Drosophila melanogaster: one gene and its partners. Changing the gene in region 1 together with any one later gene gives a genetic interaction. Each region holds a gene or a part of one and is shown in the gene's direction. Other genes may lie near its edges. The genes, in order: trio, fra, ena and PlexB.

What was found.
Region 2: of trio (region 1) and fra, changing one enhances a phenotype caused by changing the other (phenotypic enhancement), as found in Drosophila melanogaster (one study listed by BioGRID).
Region 3: of trio (region 1) and ena, changing one suppresses a phenotype caused by changing the other (phenotypic suppression), as found in Drosophila melanogaster (one study listed by BioGRID).
Region 4: of trio (region 1) and PlexB, changing one enhances a phenotype caused by changing the other (phenotypic enhancement), as found in Drosophila melanogaster (one study listed by BioGRID).

The regions. Positions count from the first base shown.
Region 1 is NT_037436.4:1,031,848-1,036,711, reverse strand, and holds the start of trio (trio), read left to right. Parts: upstream 1-1,836; 5' UTR 1,837-2,214; intron 2,215-2,646; 5' UTR 2,647-2,883; coding exon 2,884-3,062; intron 3,063-4,864. Other genes in the region: CG9205 (uncharacterized protein), read right to left, coding at 491-680, 756-1,152, 1,251-1,338.
Region 2 is NT_033778.4:12,527,081-12,532,059, forward strand, and holds the start of fra (frazzled), read left to right. Parts: upstream 1-1,972; 5' UTR 1,973-2,646; coding exon 2,647-2,746; intron 2,747-4,979.
Region 3 is NT_033778.4:19,153,604-19,161,230, forward strand, and holds the start of ena (enabled), read left to right. Parts: upstream 1-1,617; 5' UTR 1,618-1,871; coding exon 1,872-2,764; intron 2,765-5,130; coding exon 5,131-5,452; intron 5,453-5,516; coding exon 5,517-5,749; intron 5,750-6,179; coding exon of another isoform or gene 6,180-6,191; coding exon 6,192-6,432; intron 6,433-6,573; coding exon 6,574-7,299; intron 7,300-7,370; coding exon 7,371-7,529; intron 7,530-7,590; coding exon 7,591-7,627. UniProt on the Drosophila melanogaster protein: Functions, together with Abl, trio and fra, in a complex signaling network that regulates axon guidance at the CNS midline. Required in part for robo-mediated repulsive axon guidance. May be involved in lamellipodial dynamics.
Region 4 is NC_004353.4:40,752-45,556, reverse strand, and holds the start of PlexB (plexin B), read left to right. Parts: upstream 1-1,778; 5' UTR 1,779-2,132; coding exon 2,133-2,643; exon of another isoform or gene 2,644-2,783; intron 2,784-4,271; coding exon 4,272-4,805.

The DNA.
Region 1 (4,864 bases):
ATATAAGTATCTATGTAATCCCAGTTCCCCCAATAGACTTTGATGTTCCCACACGTATCGAAACTTAACGAATTACTTTCGGAATAGGATGTAATATAAGCAGTGGCAAGAGTTAGCGGCTAAATCTCCTGGATATTGTGTATCTTTGTACGATCTGGATCAGCGTCCAAGTCCACGTCCAAAACTCAACATTTTCTATAAACTTTAGTGCAAACTTTATGTTCAAATTAACTTTAAATGTCGAAATGAATGTTCTAATTAATCGAAGAAAACAAAAAACATAAAAACTTAAAAACGGAAAACCGAAACGAACAAAAAGTATTTTATAAAAACATTGAAAAGTAACCCAACCTGAAAGTCTTCTCATTGCTTACCAAACCGTTGTCTTGAATCTTGATTCTTGATTTTGCATTGCGGTTTGGCTTAGTGTTTATTGGGCATATCTTAGTGGAAACTGGAAACTGGAGACTATCCTTGCAGCATGCATCTCTCAAAGCACAAGAGGCACGGCCTCTGCCACCGGCTGGTTGATCTCCTGGTGGCGTTGCAGTAATCCCAAGCACTGGTGCAGGCACTGGGTGCTGGCCGTGGAGATCGCCTTGAGCAAAAGAAGATCGGGATCCGTTGGCGAGAAGGAAGCGCAGTCGATGCTCTCGATGGCCCTGGCCAGAGAAGCGTTGCTGGAAGGGTTTGGGGATAGATTTATAGATTGCAGGAGGTAATGCGGCGTTAGCTACGAATCACTGTGCAGTTACCATTGTTCCGTGAGAAACAGAGCTTGGCGCGCTGAAACCATGGCATCGGAGGCGGCAAGCAATTCCCGCGGAGGAAGCGGCGACGAGTTGCTGATGTCCATCGCCTTCATGTGACTCTCGACCACCGCCCGCAGGCCATCCACCCACTCCTGACGGGCCCTGGCATCGTTGGCCCTCAGCTTTACCGTATCGCCGGAGGCGCAGGCGATGGCGAACGTCCTAGAGTCCTCGTCACTCGGGTACACCACTGCGCCGGCCAGCTGCACCTGGCCCCTGGGAGCACTGGCCAGGACGTGGGGCGAGGGCGCGATGTCGTCGCCCACCGTCGACGAGTCGCACAGGTAGTAGCTCAGCGATCCTGTCTTGGCGTCCACCGTAAACCAACGGTACTGCCATCCTGCAAAGTGGATGCTGCGATTAGGGAAGCGGTTCTAGCGGGGATTCTATGGGATGGAGAGCTTGAAGGTGCTGCTCCAAAGGTGAAAGTTTGCTCACCCTTCATCACATTGGTGTATTTGCTGAGCTGACCGCAGAGTTTCAGTTTGGCCGATTCACGAATGATCCTGTTCAAGTTGCTCTCCATTTTGGCGGCGGCGTCCTTGGGATCGGGGCGCACTGGGGGCGTGGCCTGCCGTGGGCGGTGCTTCTTCTTGCGCTGGCGAAGCGAGTTCTTGATTTTGCGTAAAATGTTTGCAGGTATATTAATTTGATTCGGGTTTATTTGGTAAAACTCGGCAGAAACGGAAGCTAATGAACAACAGACAGTGTTGTATCAGCGAGCTTATGCTAGCAGGCGAGCATCGATAGTAGTACAATCGATGCCTGTTATCGTAGATAGTTGGTATTTTTACATATTATTTAAAAAAAGTCAAAATATTTAATATTTAATCATAGGTATCATTTTGAGATAATCATGAGCGTAACTATGTAGACTTTTTTAAGAAAAACTCTACTCAATTGCGATGCCTTATGACTATCGATTATTAACACCTATCGAGGCACGCAATCGGTGTGCTCGATTAAAAAAGGCTGAAAATTCAGTTTGTAAGCCGTTTCGGCATCTGGTCACACTTGTCGTTTCGCAAAATCCAATTTGTTTAAACAAAACAGAGAGCGCCCGTTCGTAAAATCGCGGTTTCTTGAAAAATGAAAATTTTAGCTTAGCCCGCGTCAAGTCGCGAACTGCGTGCAACGGTAACTTGGGTGATTTTACCGGTGGGAAAGCGTGTGAAAAACAAAAGCAGCGCGAGTGAAAAAAATCAATTTGGTGGCACAAGCAGTGGCAAGAAGAAGAGCCAAGACGCAAGAGAACTGCTTGCGGATGATGTGATGATACAGATATACATAGCATATACATATGTATATACAGGCTATATATACGTCTGGAGTTTGTGTTCAAATTGAGGCAATTAAAACATAGCGGATTTTCGCCCGTTCGCAGTGGCGAATGTTGTGTTGAGTGTGTATATTTCCAAATAATGTTTCAACTTGTGTGCCTGCCTGCGCGAGTTCTATTTGATGTTTTTATGCTGCGTGTGATTTATGACATTTAACGGGAGTACATATGTATACATGTGTGCACATGCCACATACACATACGCATATGTATGCACCCCCATGCGAGTGTGTGTGTTTGCCCGTCTGTTTGTATCTCCCTCTCACTCCCACACGCACGAAAGTGCGAGGGTGACTGAAGAAAAAAACTCCACTCCTTGCATCTAAAAATAGGAAAACTACACAAATTGTGTGCAAATTATGTGTAGCATTTAGAAAACCAAGTGAAATACCCATTGCTAATCTGCATCTCTGCTTCCCCACTCATTTTCCACCCACACACACACACGCACACACGGGCAAACACACGAAAACCGCAACAACACAAACACAACAGCAAAAGAGTGACCATGAAAATGCCAGCGAGAAATTTGCGAAAATCAATGAGCAAAAGCAGCGGTTCATAATAATAACTAATAACAGAGCCAAAACAAGTGAAATTCGAGGCTGGAATTCGTTATGCTGCAGTGCCCATCGTCGGATTAAAAAACGGGCGGAGACCCCCCAGTTTAACCCCTCCAGTGATTAACCCCCGGCCGCTTTAACCACCCCTCCCCCTTCCCCTGCCGACGGCATGGACGGCCAGCGGGCCAGGGATCTCCTGACCCTCCTCCAGGAACGGGTCGTCTTCCTCACGGGCGGACGGGACCGGCGCGGCGGACCGCTCCTCTGCTTCCCGGCCACGCCCCGTCGCGATCGCCTCAAGCCGGAGGATCTGCGGCGTCTCCTCAGCTACCTGATCAGCATTCCCAGGTGAGGATGTAGTTGCTACTACCACATAGGAATAGCCATTTAGTTAGTTAGGTTCTATTGACATCCAATTGGATCTGGGCAAAGGTCGTCCATCTCAAAATTGTCTATGTTATAACTATATTTATGTTATCTATGTATTACGAAAGCACACGTAGAAGTATAAATATATTAAAATACAGCAAGATAAATAATTATGAACATATTGCCGAGAAAAAAAAGAGTGCAGCTAATTCTTAATCTATGCCTGCACTTTATTACGTTAAGTTATTGTTTGATAAGCACTAGCCATGATAATAATTTAAAATTGCAATAATATGATAACACTCAGCAAAGTAAAGAGGACCATTTTCATATTTTGTACATTTAAATATGTTGCTTTTCTAGATTTCATCACAAACTAATTGGCTTAATTCGTAGCATAGACATTTACATTTTTATAGACTTTTTGATTTACGAGCTATAAATAAAGCATAGAAAATTCTTGGAACTTATAATGACTCACCCAAATCATCTTGCACCTAATTAAATTTTACACTTTTCATCTTGACATATACATTCTATATATGTATATTTGATCAACTTTTCTTTAAAAACGTCCAGCTTAGTTAAGTGCACTCAAAGTGGATTGCATGACTGCCAGCTTTAGTTACAATTTAGATGAATTGAAAACGTCAAGTTCTTAGATATTTATACTGCAATGTTGCCTTTGGCGGCACAAGTCCAAATTTCTCCGGCCTCCTGCATTTTGTATTTACAGCACAGGGAACTCTCGTTAGTAAACAACTTTTTCGGCTTGGAGACTAATCACGAGTTTGTAGCTTTTAGAAATCGTTGTAAATAGCATCTTCGATCTTTAGTTATGTAGTTTATTTGTATTTCGATCTCTTGTTAAATTCCGAATACCACGCAGCTGCGGTTTCGCGTTACTGGGGCCTTACTGTACCAGTACAATGGCAACCCATTGTGTCAGCTGACGTCGCGACATCGCTGGCTGCGCTTCGTTTGCAATTTCGGAGGAGTCGCGACGTCGTCGCCTCACCCGCACCAACATATATATATCGTATATATATATATTTTGAATAGGGGGAGGATGCAGGGGTGCTCGCGAGAGGGGGAGGAGGGGGAGAGCAGCTGCTGCAGCTGCATTGCCACATTCCACTTGATTTTCCTGTTATAGTCGTCGTTCGCCTGCAGTCGCATTTTTATGAATCATCATCGTTCGACGATTGCAAGAACAGCACGCACATTGTTCTTGGCTCGCCCTCTCTTTCTCGCCACATATGCCCATCTCTCTCTCACTCAGCTGGCTGCTGTTGACATTGAATCGCCGAAGTGCGGGTCAAAATGGGTGGCACAGAGGGCCATGGCGGGCTAAAAAAGTCATAAAAGTAAACGTTCTCCAATAAAAACTAGCAGCAACAAAAGTTGCATAAATCTGTGCGGCGAAGAAAGCACCGAGAACAGAGAAGAAGAAGAAACAGCAAAAGAACACACAGATACAAACGCATACATACATACATATGTATGGGCAAAACCGGGGACCGGCTTCCAAAGTCTTTAAGAGCCGAACTCGAAGAATGCGAATATTTTTTGCTGCTGCCCCAAAGACTAAAAAAAACCACAACAAAAACCGAAATGAGCCGTAAAACGAGAGGAAAGAAAGAAAGAAAGGGTAATTTGGGCGAACAGTGCTGCCTCGATAACACTGACATGCAGACATTTATAGCACTCTGTGTGCTTAAAGTAAAAGTGCGAGTCTAAATCCATTGTTTGCTTAATTAGATTGAACAATAGTTTTGGCT
Region 2 (4,979 bases), on another chromosome or scaffold:
TATGGACAGGCACACAAGCCGAGATTTGTTGTCTGCCGACGCTAACTTAATTTAACTTACTTTGTTGTTGTTCTCTCTCACCGGTTTGCTGGCCATTGTTGTTGCTGCCAGGCGTCGCAATTTGCTGCCTGCGTCGCCTGTCGCCGCCAATTAAGTCGGGAAATGGCCAACTATTTTAGCCGACTGACAATCAAAGTGATGGAAATGCATACTAATAATAGTAAGCCCTGATTAATCAGGTTTTTATTAACAGAAAGTACTTTAAACTCTATCTATATACCTAATTTAAAATCAAACTTAATTGTATCCCTTCCAGAATATCATAACTCATGAAGTATCACTTAAGCAAATATTCTGAACTTCCTAATGGCTCTGGATTTAAAATCTTTGCCTTTATTAGTTCTACCCAAGTTAACAACTTTCTTAGGAAGCGATTTGCAGTGAAAGTCTTTAGTGCCATGAACAATGGATTTGCCAAGTTAAACGAGAGAACCTTTTATATATTTAAGCAATTTCCATGTCCGAAGTGCATGCCTTAATTTATATATTACCACACACAGGCTTAATTCACTTAAGCGCCTTTTCGTGTCGGCACCTAAAAGCTTTGAATGGGAAGAACATCCGAATCAGAATCCAAATCACCATCAGTCGCCGCGTTTTGTGGGTGCCCAGAAGTTGCCCAACTTCAAGCTGGCATAACAGATACAGGGATGCGGATGCACATACAGATACGGATACTCGAAAGACTCGGTAGCTCGGATTAATTAAAACTGAAAATTGCAGTGGCGTCTGGTGGGGAAATGTGTGTGCTGCTTTTAAAAAACCTGCAATTAGCAGCGAAAAATCTCCGGTTCTGGTAATTTGATCCAAGTCCTCGAAACTTGACCCACATTTTGTGGGCATACGGATGATACGCTAATGAAGGGAATTTCATTTCACTTATTTTTGCGGCCTGCCAGTCCAAAAAAAAATGCCTCCCCCTTCTTTTTCACCCCGTCGTTTATTTTTACGACGCTTTCGCTTAAGCGCTGGCATTTAATGTGAAATTTATCATTTCAACGCCACGCCCCCCACCCCACGCCCAACCAACAATTTGTCGGCCTTGGTCGGATTTTTTATTGCGTTCACATTTCTCCGAGGCGAAAAGTGATATGTTCATTTTTTCAGCCTTTAAAGTTCCTGCTGGTTGCTGGTCGGCGCTTTTAAAATGAGTGTTCCTTTGCCACATGCATTTTTTTAGAGCCACAACTTTTAACCACAACCTGTCTGCACGTCGGTTGCTCGGGGGTGGCAATCACTGGCCAACTGCAAAAAATGCATTTCAAACAGGAGATTTTCCCATTGGTTTGAGCATAAAGTTTTCTGTCAAAGGATTTTTCTGAAATAACGTACTTATGAACAAGATCAGTCGGGGAGAAAGTTGAGGTACATTTCGAAAGCCATTAAAATTTTTAAGTATTAATCTCCTGTGACTCTCATAAAAAGAAATTTGTGTAAAGTAAAACCGAAAATATGTGAAATTTTAAAATATTTAAAAATATAGGAGCAAACCTTTTGAATACCGATATAAATTCATATGATTAATATCCCAACTGCAAATGTCCTCGAAATAATAATGTTTGTTGCTTTTGATGTGTAATTGACTTTGGTCCTAACTTTTGAATTACGCGCCATTTGGAATAAATTGCTCAACTGACCTTAACGCGTTTTTGGTGATGTGCACTCCAGTATCGATTGCTTTTCAATGTCGATGACAGTCATTAAAATATATTATGATTACGTTAGTAAGAAAGCTGAGCACTGATTACTACGTTACTTATGGAAACCCCTTTGTAAAATGATAATGAATTTATAATATGCAAGAATAACATGGTGCGAAAGTCATTTCATCGTCATCGATAGTAGTGAGACCATCGATAAGCATCGATAGCGGATGTGTTTTCGCATCACCCGCGCAGCTAGGGATTTTTTCGACAGTTTCGGATTTTTTTTCGGTCGTCGAGGTCGTTGCGCGCATGTATACTCTTTAGTGGCGAGAAAACGCGTTTGCCAATAGTAAAATCCATCGCAAAGAGGTAGAAAATTAAAATAAGTGCAGCCAAAATCGAAAATAAATGAAAAAGGCACTCAAATAATACATACAGCCGCTGAAAATGTGTTTTAAATAGAACTGCAGCTGCAAGTCCTGATGCCTGCCGAAGGTTAGAGCGAGACAACGCTACTTACTCGAGTGTGTGTGCGCAATTTGTTGATAGTATTTTCTGTTGTTGTAAAAATGCCCCGCTTGCAAGCGTGCAATAACAGCAACAACAAGACCTGAAACAACAACAATAGGCGGCGAATGCCGGCAAAACAAAAACGCGTAAACGATTGATGCGAATAGCGTAAAACAAGAGAATCGAAAGCAATAATCGCCCAAGAATACACAACAAAAGTGGAGTGAGTAAAAGTCGCGTGTGAGTGTTTGCGTCGCGTGTATGTGTGGGTGCAAAGGATACAAATAGAAGGCGCAATCGGCGATTGGCGGGTATCAAGAGCCAAAATGTTGTAAACAAATCGCAAAAGTCCAAATAAACCTGAGCCATTCGAATTACCTCCGATCGCAAACGACGGTTTCCAGCCAAATCAGCGAAAAGCAAACAGAATATGGCCATCACAACAAACAGAAGCAGCAGGACTTTGTGGAACTGGCTGCTCAGCAGTTGTCTCATATTCCAGCTGATTGGCAGCAGTTTGGCAAGTCAAGGTGAGAACTTCAATCTGAAATGATAAATATTTTGCACCAAAGTGCCGTAAGAGGGCTTTATAAAAATGTAGATAGTTTCTATCTTTCGCTGTGCAGGTTGTCAATTTATAATTTTAAACCAAAGACCCATGAAATCCAAGCTTAGTTGCTTACACAGAAAGACATTATCAAATTGTGTACATATATAGATTATTAAAGAGATTATAAAAGATATAAAAAAAATTTTATGAACATGTGATTGAACTTTAATTCTTGGGCTGCGCCTTAATTGCCTTCTGACAGGAGGAAATAATCTAAAACAGTGTATAAATTCGGTAGATTAGATGAGTTTATATCACTTCAATAAATATTACGATTAAATAGTACGAATAGATGAACTACGTGGTTTGTCAGCCCAGTAATTTTTAGTTCACTACACTCATCCACCATATTTTATGACACTATCTGTTACTTTACTCTTCGTACAATTCCCTATCTATGTTGTGTATTCGGGTACCATAAAGTTCGATATCTGTATTTTAACAAATATGAATGCAAGTACAGTTTTGGCGACTGGATGTCTGGTCGACGTGCCAGAAAGCAGGCATTGGGACCCACAAAAAAAAAAAAGCCTCATGTGCGAAAGGTGATGTCAACGGCGAACTGATCCGATAAGCTGTCATATTTCGCAACTCGCGCTCTTTTTGCACTCGTAAAATTGAGGTACTTTCAAAAACCCTGCCCTATTCCATCCACATGTGCCAATCACCCGGGGTAATTCACCGTAATTGCTTCCCATCATATCACCTGCAGATAAGAACTCAAAATGGGATGGTTGCGAAACCGATAGTGCTTCAAAACTTAAACATTACTAATGAGCTTCGCTTGAAACGAGATAAACTAAACACTGCACAACATGAATTGAAAACCAACGCACTTGTTTGCGATTATTTGAGCCAAAACAAACACGATTTCCTGTGAAAAAGTATTCTGAAATCGAAGAAATAGAATCCAACAAAATGGTAGCCGTAAGAGTCATTATCATTAGCTCAAAGCCAGGGAACAAGTGATCTTAGGGGATCAGGTAGGTAAGCGCAGGTAGAACCAGTGCAGCCCAAAATGCAATTAGGTTTTAGGATCAGGCACAGTTTCAGTTTTAGGTCCCAGAAGAAGATTACCCAAGATCGGTGGGCAGCTGCACAATGCATCAATTGATTGATTTGGTTTGAAAACTAAGCCAGGGGTGGCTTAGAGGCTTATCATATTTCCATTTTCGGCTGGAGAAATAAACAATCGCGTAAAATGAGGGAGGGATAATGGAAATCCCCGCAAAAGGCGCAAATAATGCAAACAAATTAAATGTCCTGCCGTGAATCTCGTCTCTGCGCCATCTTCGAAACGAGAAAGAAAAGCCACCCCTAAAAGTGAAAAGTGTCCTGGAAAAACGGGGAGCCGCCTTATCAGCTGCAAAATTTATCAACGCCAGCTCCAAGACAGCCCGAAAAAGGACCCCAAAAAAAGTGCGGTCGTAAAAAATTGTCGGGGCATGTCATATGCAAATGGAATGAAAAATCTTTGAACAAATTTTTAGGTCATGGCATGTCATAAGTCGCAGGACTTAATGCCAGATTTAATTAAAAGCATTCCCTCACATAACTTCAAGCTTTATGTGGTGGGTATGTAATTAAAAAAAAAAGAAAACAACTTTACTTACATGGGTGTAACTAGCTGAAAAGAATTGTGTGACAACAATGGACTCACGTGGCTTCACGACCACTTAGTACCGTATAATAATGCATCAATTAAGGTTGATAAGATACTATGAAAGTAAGACAAAGTTAGACATTTCCGTGTTAGTTAAATTAAATTATAGAAAAGCATTTTAATAATTTATTTTGATCTTTAGATCTATGTGGCCTTAAGACACCCTTGTGGTTTTTTCTATCTTGCTAAACAAACTAGTTGATTTTATAGAAGGATCCTACTTATACCGTGTACGAAAAACTCACGTGCGAGGTCCTGTTCCCATTTTCGTGCTTATTTGTGGCGCTCTGTGTTTTCACTTTCCTGGTCATATTTCCTCGCTCTTTAGCCCGTGAATTGTGGCAATTGTTTGATGTTGTCCTGGGCGAGTCGCCTCACCCTGGCGTTCACTGGCTTTTTCCCGTGGCCAGGAGCACATTTAGCCGCATTACGTGATACAATATATGAGTGACATGTTATTCTAATTTCGCACCCCTTTTCATATTCCTGG
Region 3 (7,627 bases), on another chromosome or scaffold:
GTCCCCCAGCACTTCTTGATGTTTGCCATGGGCAAACTGTTTTGAGTCTCCTGACTGCCTGGCAACCTACTTTGTGACTCCGCTGCTCACATGTGTGGGCCCTGTTTGTTTTTATGATTTTTTTTTTTCCAGTCCGATGTCTGCCTGCGGGTCTTTATGGACAGCCATATGGATTACTCCAGTACTCGCATTCGTAGTGCCCCTTAGAAATATTTAGTTGCCAAATCATTTAAGCCGCGGCACACGCTCTGGTCCAAAAAAAAAAAAAAACAAAACAAAAATGGTAAAAAAAAAAAACGAACTGAACCATTCTGACAGAGCCATTAAAGCTAGCCGGTAATCGGTTGGCTCAAATCAGAGATCGGTGAACCACCAACAGCCACTACACAACCACTTACAATGGGCCACAATAATGTTAATTGGAAATAACGTTTAGGAATTGTTGTGGGGCAAAAAACCGAATCAGACTGAAACATAAGCCAGCGAGTCAGAAACAGAGGCTCAGATCTCTGAGAGCTGAGTGCTCCAAGTTGAGATAGACAATGTTGTATATGAATTTTTCATAACATGCTACAAGCTGTGCCTCCAGGTACCTCCCCCCCCCCATTTCCCGCCGCCGTCGCCGCTTTTCGCCGCCAAAGAACAGTTGAAATGAAGGAAACAAAAACGCAGCGAGCGAGGGAAAAATACTTGTAATAGTCACTCGAGGGGGAAATATAAATTATTGAGCTCGTTTCTTAAGTAATTATCGCACTGACGGACGGAACCAACTTACTGAATCACAAACACTGACCGAATGACTAACTGGCGGATGGACAGACTGACCAACTGGTTAAACGACGGTCACGAGACGTCGGCGAGGCTTCAAGATTGCCGGCAGAAAAAAGCCTCGGGCGCAACTTTGTAAGATTCGAGAGCTTATCGCATACCCTTCGAAACTGCATAAGAAATTTGAGATGGAACTTGCGCAATTTCATAGCTAGGCGAAAAGTTGTAAGGGTATGCCCTACAATTCATTGTATCATTGTAGCTCTCTGAAGATATTGCATATTTTAGGGAAACTGCTTGAAACTCTGTTTCAGTGCCTGAAAACTTCTCAAAATATAAACTTTTGAGTATTAAAATAAAATCGCCTTTCAATAATCTGAATCTTACATCCTTCCCTCAACGAAAATCGTGTAAAACGAGAACGTTTTTTCTCAATAGGTTCTATGCAGACTACTTGCCCTCACGTCTTTTAATTGTCATGCCATTTGGGAATCGTCTGAAGCGACTGTGAGTCAGGTTGTGGTCTCTCCATCTACCTGGCCATTATGCTCGGTTCCCAGCTCGGGGTCAATCCAGCTCAACATCCATAGCACATCTCATCATTTCTCATTATTTTATTGACTTTGAAGTGTAATTATTTGCCTTTTAGACGAATTCAAAGCGCAGCAGCCGCTAAAATGAGAGAAAAATACAGATTGTGAGCCGATACTCAGTTTCTCGCTCACGTCTTTTCTGCTCATTCGCCTTTAGATATATTTTTTTTCTCGGCTTTTGTTTGTCTTGGCCTCGACTGAGAGACCGTTTCGGTCTCTGAGACCCAGTCGCGATCTCGGTCTGGATCTTGGCTTTAGTCTCCAGCGGGTCTTGAGTGCGTTCAGACGTGTGCAGCTGAGATCTTGGAACGACGAATGGTGATCGGTGATCTCTGATCAGTGACCAGTGGGCAGAGAGCGAATAGCCAAGATCCAAGAGCCTAGGCAAACATAAATACGATACATCCGATCCGATCCGATCGTTCGGTTTCATAGTGTGCTTAAGTGTGGGATCGATCGTGGGATCTGTTTAGTGTCTGTGACGCCTCTGCAAATATTGGCCAACGGTTAATGGCCATGAAGAAGCTCTACGCGAAGACCTCGTTCACCAGCAAGAAGCCATCGAGTGCCGCCAATTCCACTCCGATATTGGCCTACCACCAGCAACAGCATCAGCAGCCGGGCAATGGCATTTGCGAGTTCCAGGTGGTGGCACCTGGTCACTCCGGTGAGCTAATGATACGCCGCAGCCAAAGTATGCACCACAAGATGTCGCCTCCAGTCGGCGGCCTGGGCTCCAAGTCGGAGTACTACAGCATTGAGGAGCTGCAGGAGCTGGATTTGCTGGACTATCGTCATCCCATGTACCATCATTATCAGCAGCAGGAGCTGAGGCAGCGCTACCATGAGCACGAGCAGTTGGTGCTGCAGTTACCCAAGGCTACTAGTCCAAAGGCAGGACCCATCTATGAGGCACCACAGAGATCTCAGCAGCAGCAGGATCAGATGTTGTATGTACCAACGGCAGCGCAAAGAGATTCATCATCAAGTGCTGCAGCCACATCTATAGCCAGCTCATCTACCCTAACTTCATCCCCATCGCCATCCTCCTCTTCATCTCTGATCTTTTCCACTTTGCGCAAATGCGTTTCGCCCTCGAATCCCTCGGTGAATCCGAACCAACCCTCAAAAACTCAACCCTCCAAACTGGGCTGTTCCATGTCGTTTTCAATTAGAACGACAACGGCAACAGCAGCCACAGCCGCAGCAGCAAATGCAGCAACAGCAACACTATCGACACAGCAGCAACAACAGCAGGCACAGCAGCAACACAAGCAACATCTCTATAGCAACATACATCATTATCTGATCCGACAACAACAGCAGAAACAACACTACACATTACAACGTCGCCATAATTCGGTCAAAGATAAATTCATTGGGGGCATTACAACGATTTTTGCGTATGTGTAACCCACTTCCCTATGCGTCTGTCCTTGGTTGGGTTCTGTAATAATTCCCATATTTCCCCACTTTTCTCTACTATACTTCTTCAATCTCAGCACGTAGTACTTGGCCCTGGACTTTTGAATGCGTTTTACAGCTTGGTGAGATCGTTCGTAAATCAAAGAACTCTTAACCCCCACAGAGCAGCCGCCGTCGTACTCTCCGGTTTAATCATAATTATAATTTAACGCCAATTAAGCTGGAAAACGCTATCGTGTGCACACGAATCTGCATCTTGCACTCGGCTGCAGTTTAAAAACTTAAGCTTAACGCACGAATAAATCCCCAAGGCATAGAAAATTTCACCTGCCACATATTGAAAATGCTCCCAAAGCGATTTTCCAGTGGCTCAATTATATTAGCATCCCATTTAACTGGCCATTTGCGGGGCACTTTTCGATTTTCATTTGGGTTTTCCACTCAGCTGCACAGCGCAAAAAAACGATTAAGATGTTAGTTTTTACTGAAATATTTAATTGCTTTCTTTAACGATTAAAATACTATGTATCACATGTGTCGATTTTACGATTCATGAACTCATTTCCATTTCTTTACAATCTAATGTAATTAAAACAGTCGTACAGTTCTATGATTGTAGCTTAAATCTCGGAATTGGCACGTTTAATAGGCACTTATTACGTGTAAAATCGAATGAAAGCATTTATGCACTGAATGTTAGTCACAAAATGCATTACTAATCCCAACTACTTTGCTGCTGCGAACTACTGAAATAATTTTAGTTGCATTAAAATTGTTTAAAAGAGTACAACACTTTTACAAAAGCAATTCTTTTGCTCACTCCGACTTCCTATAATTATTTTCGAATATGTAGTATCCAATTTATGAGATATAAATCGATTCGATTGTAAAAAACAGAAATTTAAAAAAACTGATTGACCGCTATTGTTTCGCAGTTTCTCATAGTGTGCAGAAAAAAAAAACTTCACTTTCGTTGCCACGAATTTCGATGCAAATCAAAGCGGACAGGCTCATAAGACTTAGCTCCAAACTGTCGGTGGTTATATAAGGCCCTGAAACGGCGCACAGCTGTGCCAGCCGCCAGAGTGCGACTCGGATTCGGATTGAGATTCGTCCGTCTGTCCAGCCGTCCGTACCGCCGATCTGCGCACTCCATTTAAGTGCAAAACTACTTGCGGCTTTTGGCCGGGCCAAGTCTGTAGCGAGAATACTGCCGACTCGACTCGTTTGGCGGCTGCTCTCCGTCATTATCTCTATGTGTCCCCCAGTAACACACAACTCGGAGCAACTTGGAGCAACTTGGAGCTGCTCAGGCAACTTGGAGCGGTGCAGGCTAGCAAAAACAAAAAAAGGGGCAGAGAAAAAAAGAAAAAAAAAAAGAACGGAGCTATAGGATAGAAAGAACACCACATAGCCAAGTTGAGCAAAAGGCAAGGCAACTCGTCATCGCCTTTGCATTTTTCCAATGAAGGCGTTCATTTGTCGCTGGCCATGTTTACTTCACTGGCTGACTTTAATTGTCAACTCAACTGAGTGTCCCGGGGGGAGAAAATGCTAAAGGTTGAATGCAGCATATACACGTTCATATTAGAACTTTCATTAGAATCATTTAATCGGTCCGTGCGACTCGAGACGATCATCTGGCTGGATGACAGGTGTGCGGGCATACAAAGAAATGCATTGCACTTCCTGTCCTGAAACCGATGGGATTAGAGGGGAGTCGAGGGTATACATAGATCAAAGCCCTTGCTCACTTGAGGCGTGTGAAAAGTCTGGAAGATCACGGTGCAGTAAAGTGCAGTTGAATGAGTTCTTCAAGGGGCAAATTGTAGAGCCGATCTAATGATCTGAAAACGACTGCTCATTGCGACATTCTTTCTGGGAAGTCTTAATCGAGTCTAAGAAGTTTTTTTTATTATGACGGAAAATCGATTTCTATGAATATATGTAGAAGCTTTCCATAGAACAATATATACTTTTTACTTCCAATCCCACGAAAGCCATCAATAAATTTGTATCTCTTTTATTGAACTCGTTTAGTGCAAATAATAAAGTTGCCAAATTTGACTAATTTGTTAGCACAACTTCCGTTTCGTTTCCCACGATCTTTTAAGACTTTAAAAGAGTTAACATCATAAAATGGAATTTTTGTACATACATATATGTTTCTCGCACATTTTCATATCTTTTCTTCTCAAGGCAAGGGCTATTCCCTATAATAAATTTTCAGCTCGAACTTCTTGAAGTGTGTTAAGTCCTCATCATTTCCATACACATTCAAGGTTCCATTCCATACCATTTAAGTCAGCCAACTAACCATAATATTCACACTTATTTCTTGCAGTGAGCAGAGTATTATCGGGGCGCGGGCCTCTGTGATGGTGTACGATGACAACCAGAAGAAGTGGGTGCCATCGGGCAGCTCGTCGGGATTGAGCAAGGTGCAGATCTACCACCACCAGCAGAACAACACGTTCCGTGTGGTGGGACGAAAGCTGCAGGATCACGAGGTGGTCATCAACTGCTCCATTCTGAAGGGACTGAAGTACAATCAGGCCACGGCAACATTTCATCAGTGGCGCGATTCGAAATTCGTTTACGGCTTGAACTTCTCGAGCCAAAATGATGCGGAGAACTTTGCTAGGGCCATGATGCATGCCCTGGAAGTAAGTATATCTCTTTCACAACCAATATCTGTATCATTCGCTAACATTTGAATGTCTTTCTCAGGTGCTCAGTGGTCGCGTGGCGAACAACCCAGGTGGACCGCCCACAAATGGCAATGGCTATGAGGAGGACATGGGCTATCGCACGATGACCAGCGAGGATGCAGCCATACTGCGTCAGAACAACAGCATAGGTGGGCACGTCACGCCCTCGGCCCAGACGCCCACCTCGCAGACCAACCAGAATAACATCCCCCAGAGCCCGCCGACGCCCCAGGGTCATCATCGCACCAGCAGGTAGGCTCCATTTCCATTAATTGTGTTGGATACGGCATGCTCATTGCTGTGGAAAAACCCATTAGCTTAGACTCGATTGATCTAACCATTCAAGAAATATTCAATTTTATGAGAATAAGTCATTAGCACATATTGGTCGGAAGGAACATCAGTTTTCTTTGAACATTATAAAGCTGAAAATCCGTGGTTGTTATAAATGAATCCTAAGATCAAAAATTTCATTAGTCTTCAGATGCAGATACATTTTCTTGCAAGATATGTAATGTAGGATACAATTGTAGGATTGCATTACGCAAGTTGGGAACAATTTCTATCCACTTACACATGAGCAGTAGGGGCCAACACTTTTATCCGAGTTCTCGTGTCTCATCTCTCATATCACTCATTGATCCATCCCCATCCCACGCCGAACCTTTGCTCACCCAAAAAGGAATTCCCTCAGCGCCCCACCGGCACCACAGCCCCAACAGCAGCAGCAGCAGCAGCAGGCGCAGCAAATGGGTCAGCCAGGATCCCACTATGGACCCACTGGAAATGGACCCACTTCGAATGGCCTGCCACAGCAGGTGAACTCACAGATTCCGCCGGCACCGCAGCAGCAGCCACAACAGCAACAGTTTCAGCAGCAGCAGCAGCAACAGCAATATCAGCAAATGGTCCAGGCGGGCTATGCGCCCTCTCAGGTGAGTTCGATATGCTATAACCTCACCCCGTCCCAGTTTCCTCATGCGGTATTTCTGTTTCATTTCATTGGCAAATTGGCTTGATCCTGAATCTGAATCTCCTGAAAACCCCGACACACCACCACCATCACACCCCAACAGCAGTATCAGCAACCCCACTACGTGCTCTCCAATTCTAATCCCAATCTAACTGTGCACCAATACCCGACACAGCAGGCGCAGCAGCAGCCACCGCAAGCGCCACAGCCGCCGCTCCAGAACGGTGGAATGTACATGGTGGGTCATGGTCATCTACCGAGCTCCGCGAGCGCCAACAGTGTTGTGTACGCCAGCCAGCAGCAGATGCTCCCGCAGGCGCATCCACAGGCACCTCAGGCGCCGACGATGCCAGGTCCGGGCTACGGTGGTCCACCAGTACCTCCGCCCCAGCAGCAGGCAGAGAATCCGTACGGTCAGGTACCCATGCCGCCGCCAATGAATCCGTCACAGCAACAGCAGCCAGGTCAGGTGCCTCTAAACCGGATGAGCAGCCAGGGTGGTCCAGGTGGCCCACCGGCTCCTGCTCCGCCCCCGCCACCACCCAGTTTTGGTGGAGCTGCTGGAGGAGGACCACCACCACCAGCCCCGCCACAGATGTTCAACGGCGCACCGCCGCCGCCAGCCATGGGCGGTGGACCACCGCCGGCTCCACCGGCACCGCCAGCAATGGGTGGCGGACCACCGCCAGCACCGGGCGGACCAGGGGCACCACCACCACCGCCTCCGCCGCCGGGATTGGGAGGAGCGCCTAAGAAGGAAGATCCCCAGGCAGATCTCATGGGCTCGCTGGCCTCCCAGCTGCAGCAGATCAAGCTCAAAAAGAATAAGGTAAAATATCAATTTATTTAATTTATACAACTTGACTAAGCATTGTATTACCGTTTATTTTTTATTTTTAGGTCACCACCTCTGCTCCGGAGAATAGCGGCAGCAGCACGTCCAGTGGCGGCAGCGGCAACTATGGAACCATAGGACGAAGCTCTAATGGCATGGCCTCCATGATGGACGAGATGGCCAAGACGCTGGCACGACGACGCGCCCAAGCAGAAAAGAAGGATGTAAGTCAACTTTGTTTAACTTATTCCATAATCAATATCTTAATTCGTTGGCATATTGCAGCCCGATCCTGAAGCCGAAGTGAAAAAACGCCCCTGGG
Region 4 (4,805 bases), on another chromosome or scaffold:
AAACTGGAAAGGTGGAAACTAATTTATAAAATCAAAAACGTTTTCCCGATGACAAGCGATTTGTTCTTAGCTGGGAATAACACTATTATAATAATAATATTATACTTATATAATTCCTAATAATTTGCTCCAAGCATACATTTTTTTTTTTGTAAAAAGAAAATTAAAATTAATAAAAAGTAAGTAAGTAAGAGCTGCGTATCATTGTGCCGTTTGATATTCCAAATTCCTAATAAATTATTCTCTTATTGAGTTGAAAAATATCCATGTTTGTCATTATATGTGTTGTAAAGATTATAGACAGTTTAAGTGTACACATTAACCTCTTTGGTCAATCTAATCTAACTTTTTGGTAAGAGATGGTTTATCTCTTTAGCATCTCTTATCGCAGCATTTTCTGCGGCAGGTCTGGTTATGTTTCGAGTGTTCACGTCGGCTGTTAACGGATTTTTGATACATTGTTGTTATGTGTAAACAGTTCTATTTATGTACTTGTACATGTTGCACAGCGCAAATATTGTCGATTAACCATGGTTTCCCGTGCTAAGTTTCGATGTGATGCCAACCAAGTATAAACTAAAGATCCTGTGTTATACCAAAACGAATTCGGCGTTGTCAAGATCGATGTTCCCGATTGCTCTTCAGTTCACAAAGAATTTTCACAGTAAATAATGTGATAGCAGCATAAGTTTCATTAACTATCGCTTTGAAATATAGTCGGTTAACCGAAGTACACCCTTGCAAAGTGACTACACAAATGGATTGATGAAGCATTTTTATAGGGGTCAATATCCAATGCTAAGTGTTGAAAAAAATCCACAAATAAAACTTCAATATCTGTAGTGGTTCCCTAATTTAACTTATATATTCGGAGAATAAATGAAATTGTATATACATATGTACGTATGACAGGATCAGAAATCTCTCTGAGAATATATAAAAATCGAATCTTCAATTCAGTCAAAATTTAAAACCCACCGATATAATCTATTTAGTGATACTTATTTAACTAAGTGTTAATAATTTACAGGTCTTAATGACGGTTGGTCTTAATTTACAGTTGTAGAGAAATTCAATAAATTATTAATAAGACAATTGATTAGCAAAATAGCCATTCGTTGGACAAATTTTCCAAAAATTGTTGAATAATAATAATCAAATTTTTTAAATTTATATAATTTTAATAGTAAAAAAGGTACATAAGTAAAATTAGTATAAGTATATACATAAATAGTCCCAAACACTACGTGGCGTTGAAGCCTCCATGCCATGAGAAACCCTTAATGAAATAATTTAACATTAAACATGTTATGATTTTAAAATAATTTTATAAAATTTTAGCCATCGTGCCACATAAATCAATGTTGTTCAAAACTTTGTGTAGAGATAGGTGGGTCTGTAACACTCGAATCAAAAACAATATTAAGATAAAAATAGCGCGCACGGCAAGTGTTGCATGGAAGAAGATGAGATCAATTTAGATTCTTTGGAGATTGCTCTTTTTAACGCGACTACCATTTCATTGATATTATTTTACAAAAATGTTCCTGGAACATTTTAGACTCCATCGGTGGTGTCTTCTTTCTTTTTTCTTTTAACATTAGCCAATTGATTGGATGTGGAATCAGAACTGAAAACATTTAAACGATATCTACATAAATACTTCCGAGGTTTTTAATGGTAAGCTTCCCTTTAATGTGCTCCTTGTGAATACAGCATTACAATGCCCTCTAGCTCGATAGTTCAATTTGTATGCGATAGGCTGATACAGCCGATACTAATAATCTGCTCTAGGACTGATAGTGTACACACAACGTTTGAGCGTTGCCTAAGAAGTTTTTTTTAAATAAATATTTGTTTACATTGACTAATCGATTTTTTGTGTTAAACAACCTTATAAAAAATGCGCTAAACCTAAAATAGCCAAATGGATCATTTTAATTTAAAAATATTTATGCACCTACAGTGAATCAGCGGCATATAAAATTAATTCGCATTAAATTCAATCGATATTAAAAAGTTTATATATTAAGGAGAGAGAATGTAGAGCTAAATAATAATAAAAATGACATATGGGGAATTGATGCCCAAACTCAACTACAAACTGATCATACACAAAACCACAAATAAATATGTTGCGAAAGGAATTGTATTGTGCAAACATTATACATGTTTTACATGTACTGTGTATTATTATCATACTCGGTTCTCAGCATTATTGCGTTAACTGCATTGAAGAACTGCCGGCTCAGGCGTTATCTCCCTTAAATGACATAGTCGCCCAGTTTAACTTGCCATCAATACCAGTTCAATCAACAGCTTCCAGCTATGGCAATCGATCAATTGGAAACAATATAGAAAGTGTTAGAGACTCTCAATCTAAAAATTATTTTACTCACATGAGCTTCGACTTTATGCACAATGTTTTGTTTGCGGGTGCTACAAATAAAATACTTAAACTTAACGAAAACCTTCGAGTGCTGGCCGAGGCTGTTACTGGGCCGTTACATGATTCCCCGCAATGTCACGCTGGAGGCTGTCCGGAAGATATTGAGACATCGCTTGTCAATAACTTCAACAAAATTCTAGTAGTAAGCTACGCTCACGATGGTATTCTCATAGCGTGTGGAAGCATTCGACAAGGTAAAATAGCAAACACATATCAAAATAAAAATAAAATACTTAAGTCGGCGACTTCGTATGGGACCGAAACTCCTGACATATCGTATTGGTTTATAGAAGTTATTGGTCATTTTTTGTAGTCATCGTAGAACAATGTCGCAGTGTTTTTGAGCTCCACATAAAAAAGCGGCGAATATAAGTAATTATTCAAAAGTGCGGAAGGAATATGATGATAAACAAAACAGGATTTTAAAATGTTATAAATTAAAAAATCTATAGTTGAACTCTTGAAACAATTTGGGTAGTATTAACGTTAAAGTATTAAAATAAAACAAGATAATATGCTATAGTCAAGATCTCCGATACTCAGCTAGTGTGAATGCGAACTCGAAATCGAAATTTCATCATTTTTCTGGGATATCGATAGATATTGGGGAATAAAAGAAGAAACAATTTGAAAAATGTTCAATAGTGTGGGCGTGACCGGTTTGGCGGCTTTAGGGAGTTAGAGTAGGCGTGGCAAAAAGTTTAAGCAACTAATAAAATTAAAAAAAATATTCTAAAATGTTTGCAAAAATATGGGCGGGCAGTTTTGGGCATAATATTACTTCAATCATGCGATGCGAATCGTCTTTAAAATACTTTTCAACGAATCAGTTAACAATTTTTACTGTTCCTGAAATCAATTCTGATCGAATAAACGAATTTACATATTTGGTAAGTTTTGGCCAATTTCGTAGCAATATGATGAAATTGCGCTCTTTTTTAGGAATATCAAATTGGAATATAACAAAAAAAAAACTGAAACTAAACAACTGAATCTAATGTGCATTTTAAATAATAAAAATGGATCATTTTATACATCATATTAAAATTAAAAAAATTTCATAAAAATAATACGTAGTAGAAAATAAAAATTTTTAACATAAATAAAAATATGAAAACTGTTTATTGCAAGTCATATGTATCTTGAGGCACGAAGTGCGGACACAAGCACTCAACAATCATTGCCTTATTAATTTTTCACACGTCGAAAGCTGAATACTCTAATGAATATAATAATATTATAAAGTCATTTTTGAAATTTTTTTTTGTGATAATATGTACATAGGTTTGACTCTTTCTAATCTATTTTCAAATAATAATAACGTTAAGGCAATGCAAAACAAGAATTTTTCGCATGGTGCCAATTGATCAAAAATAATATAGATTTAAAGTCTATGAACTTCTAAGGTGAAGGGCATATATTGTCAAATTTACAATGCATGAGCACACGTGTGCACACACACAGATGTCTGGTATCACTGTATGCGTAGAAAAGAGCTGTTCGTTGTAGCGCTCTCCGCTCTCTCGCTCTCGAACAAAAATTCGAGAGAGCCTGGAGCAACCTCTAGAGCCACGGCGAGAAAATCGTGGGCTAAGGACAGGCAGACGGACATGAGTAGATCGACTCGGTTAGTGATCAAGATCAGGATTTTTGATATTTTATAGGCTCGGTGACGTTCCGTTCTACATGTAGTATACATTTTTACTTTACAAGTTACGGGTATATCAAGTCCAATGGATACTATGACTTAGGTGTTATATTTTGTCCTTAAAATAGGTTTTAAAAAATTCCGCGATAGTAATAAAATTATCTTTATTTTCAGGAGCCTGCGAAATTTACAGCCTGCCACGTTTTCCGGCAACGCCCCAGTTTTTTGCAGTTCCATTGGCTGCTAACGATGAAAACGCGTCTACATATGCATTTGTAGGTCCGGCGAGATATGCGTGGAAAGAAGAGGATATTTTATATGTGGGGACAACATTTACGAATGTTGGTGATTATCGTCATGACGTGCCAGCCATTTCGTCCCGCCGACTTGATGATTTAAACTATGCTGAATTTTCAATACAGCAGTCAATTATAAATATCGATGTAAAATATCGGGATCATTTTCTAGTCGATTATATTTACGGCTTTAATTCTTCTGAATATGCGTACTTCATAATTGTTCAAAAAAAATCACATTTAGCTGATGAGGCCGGTTATGTAACACGCTTGGCACGCATTTGCATTACAGATCCTAATTACGACAGCTATACTGAAATAACTGTTCAATGCACTGCAACTGAAAACAATGTTGACTACAATATTGTAAGGGATGCGAAAGTAACTCCAGCCAGCCACAAATTGGCGCAAA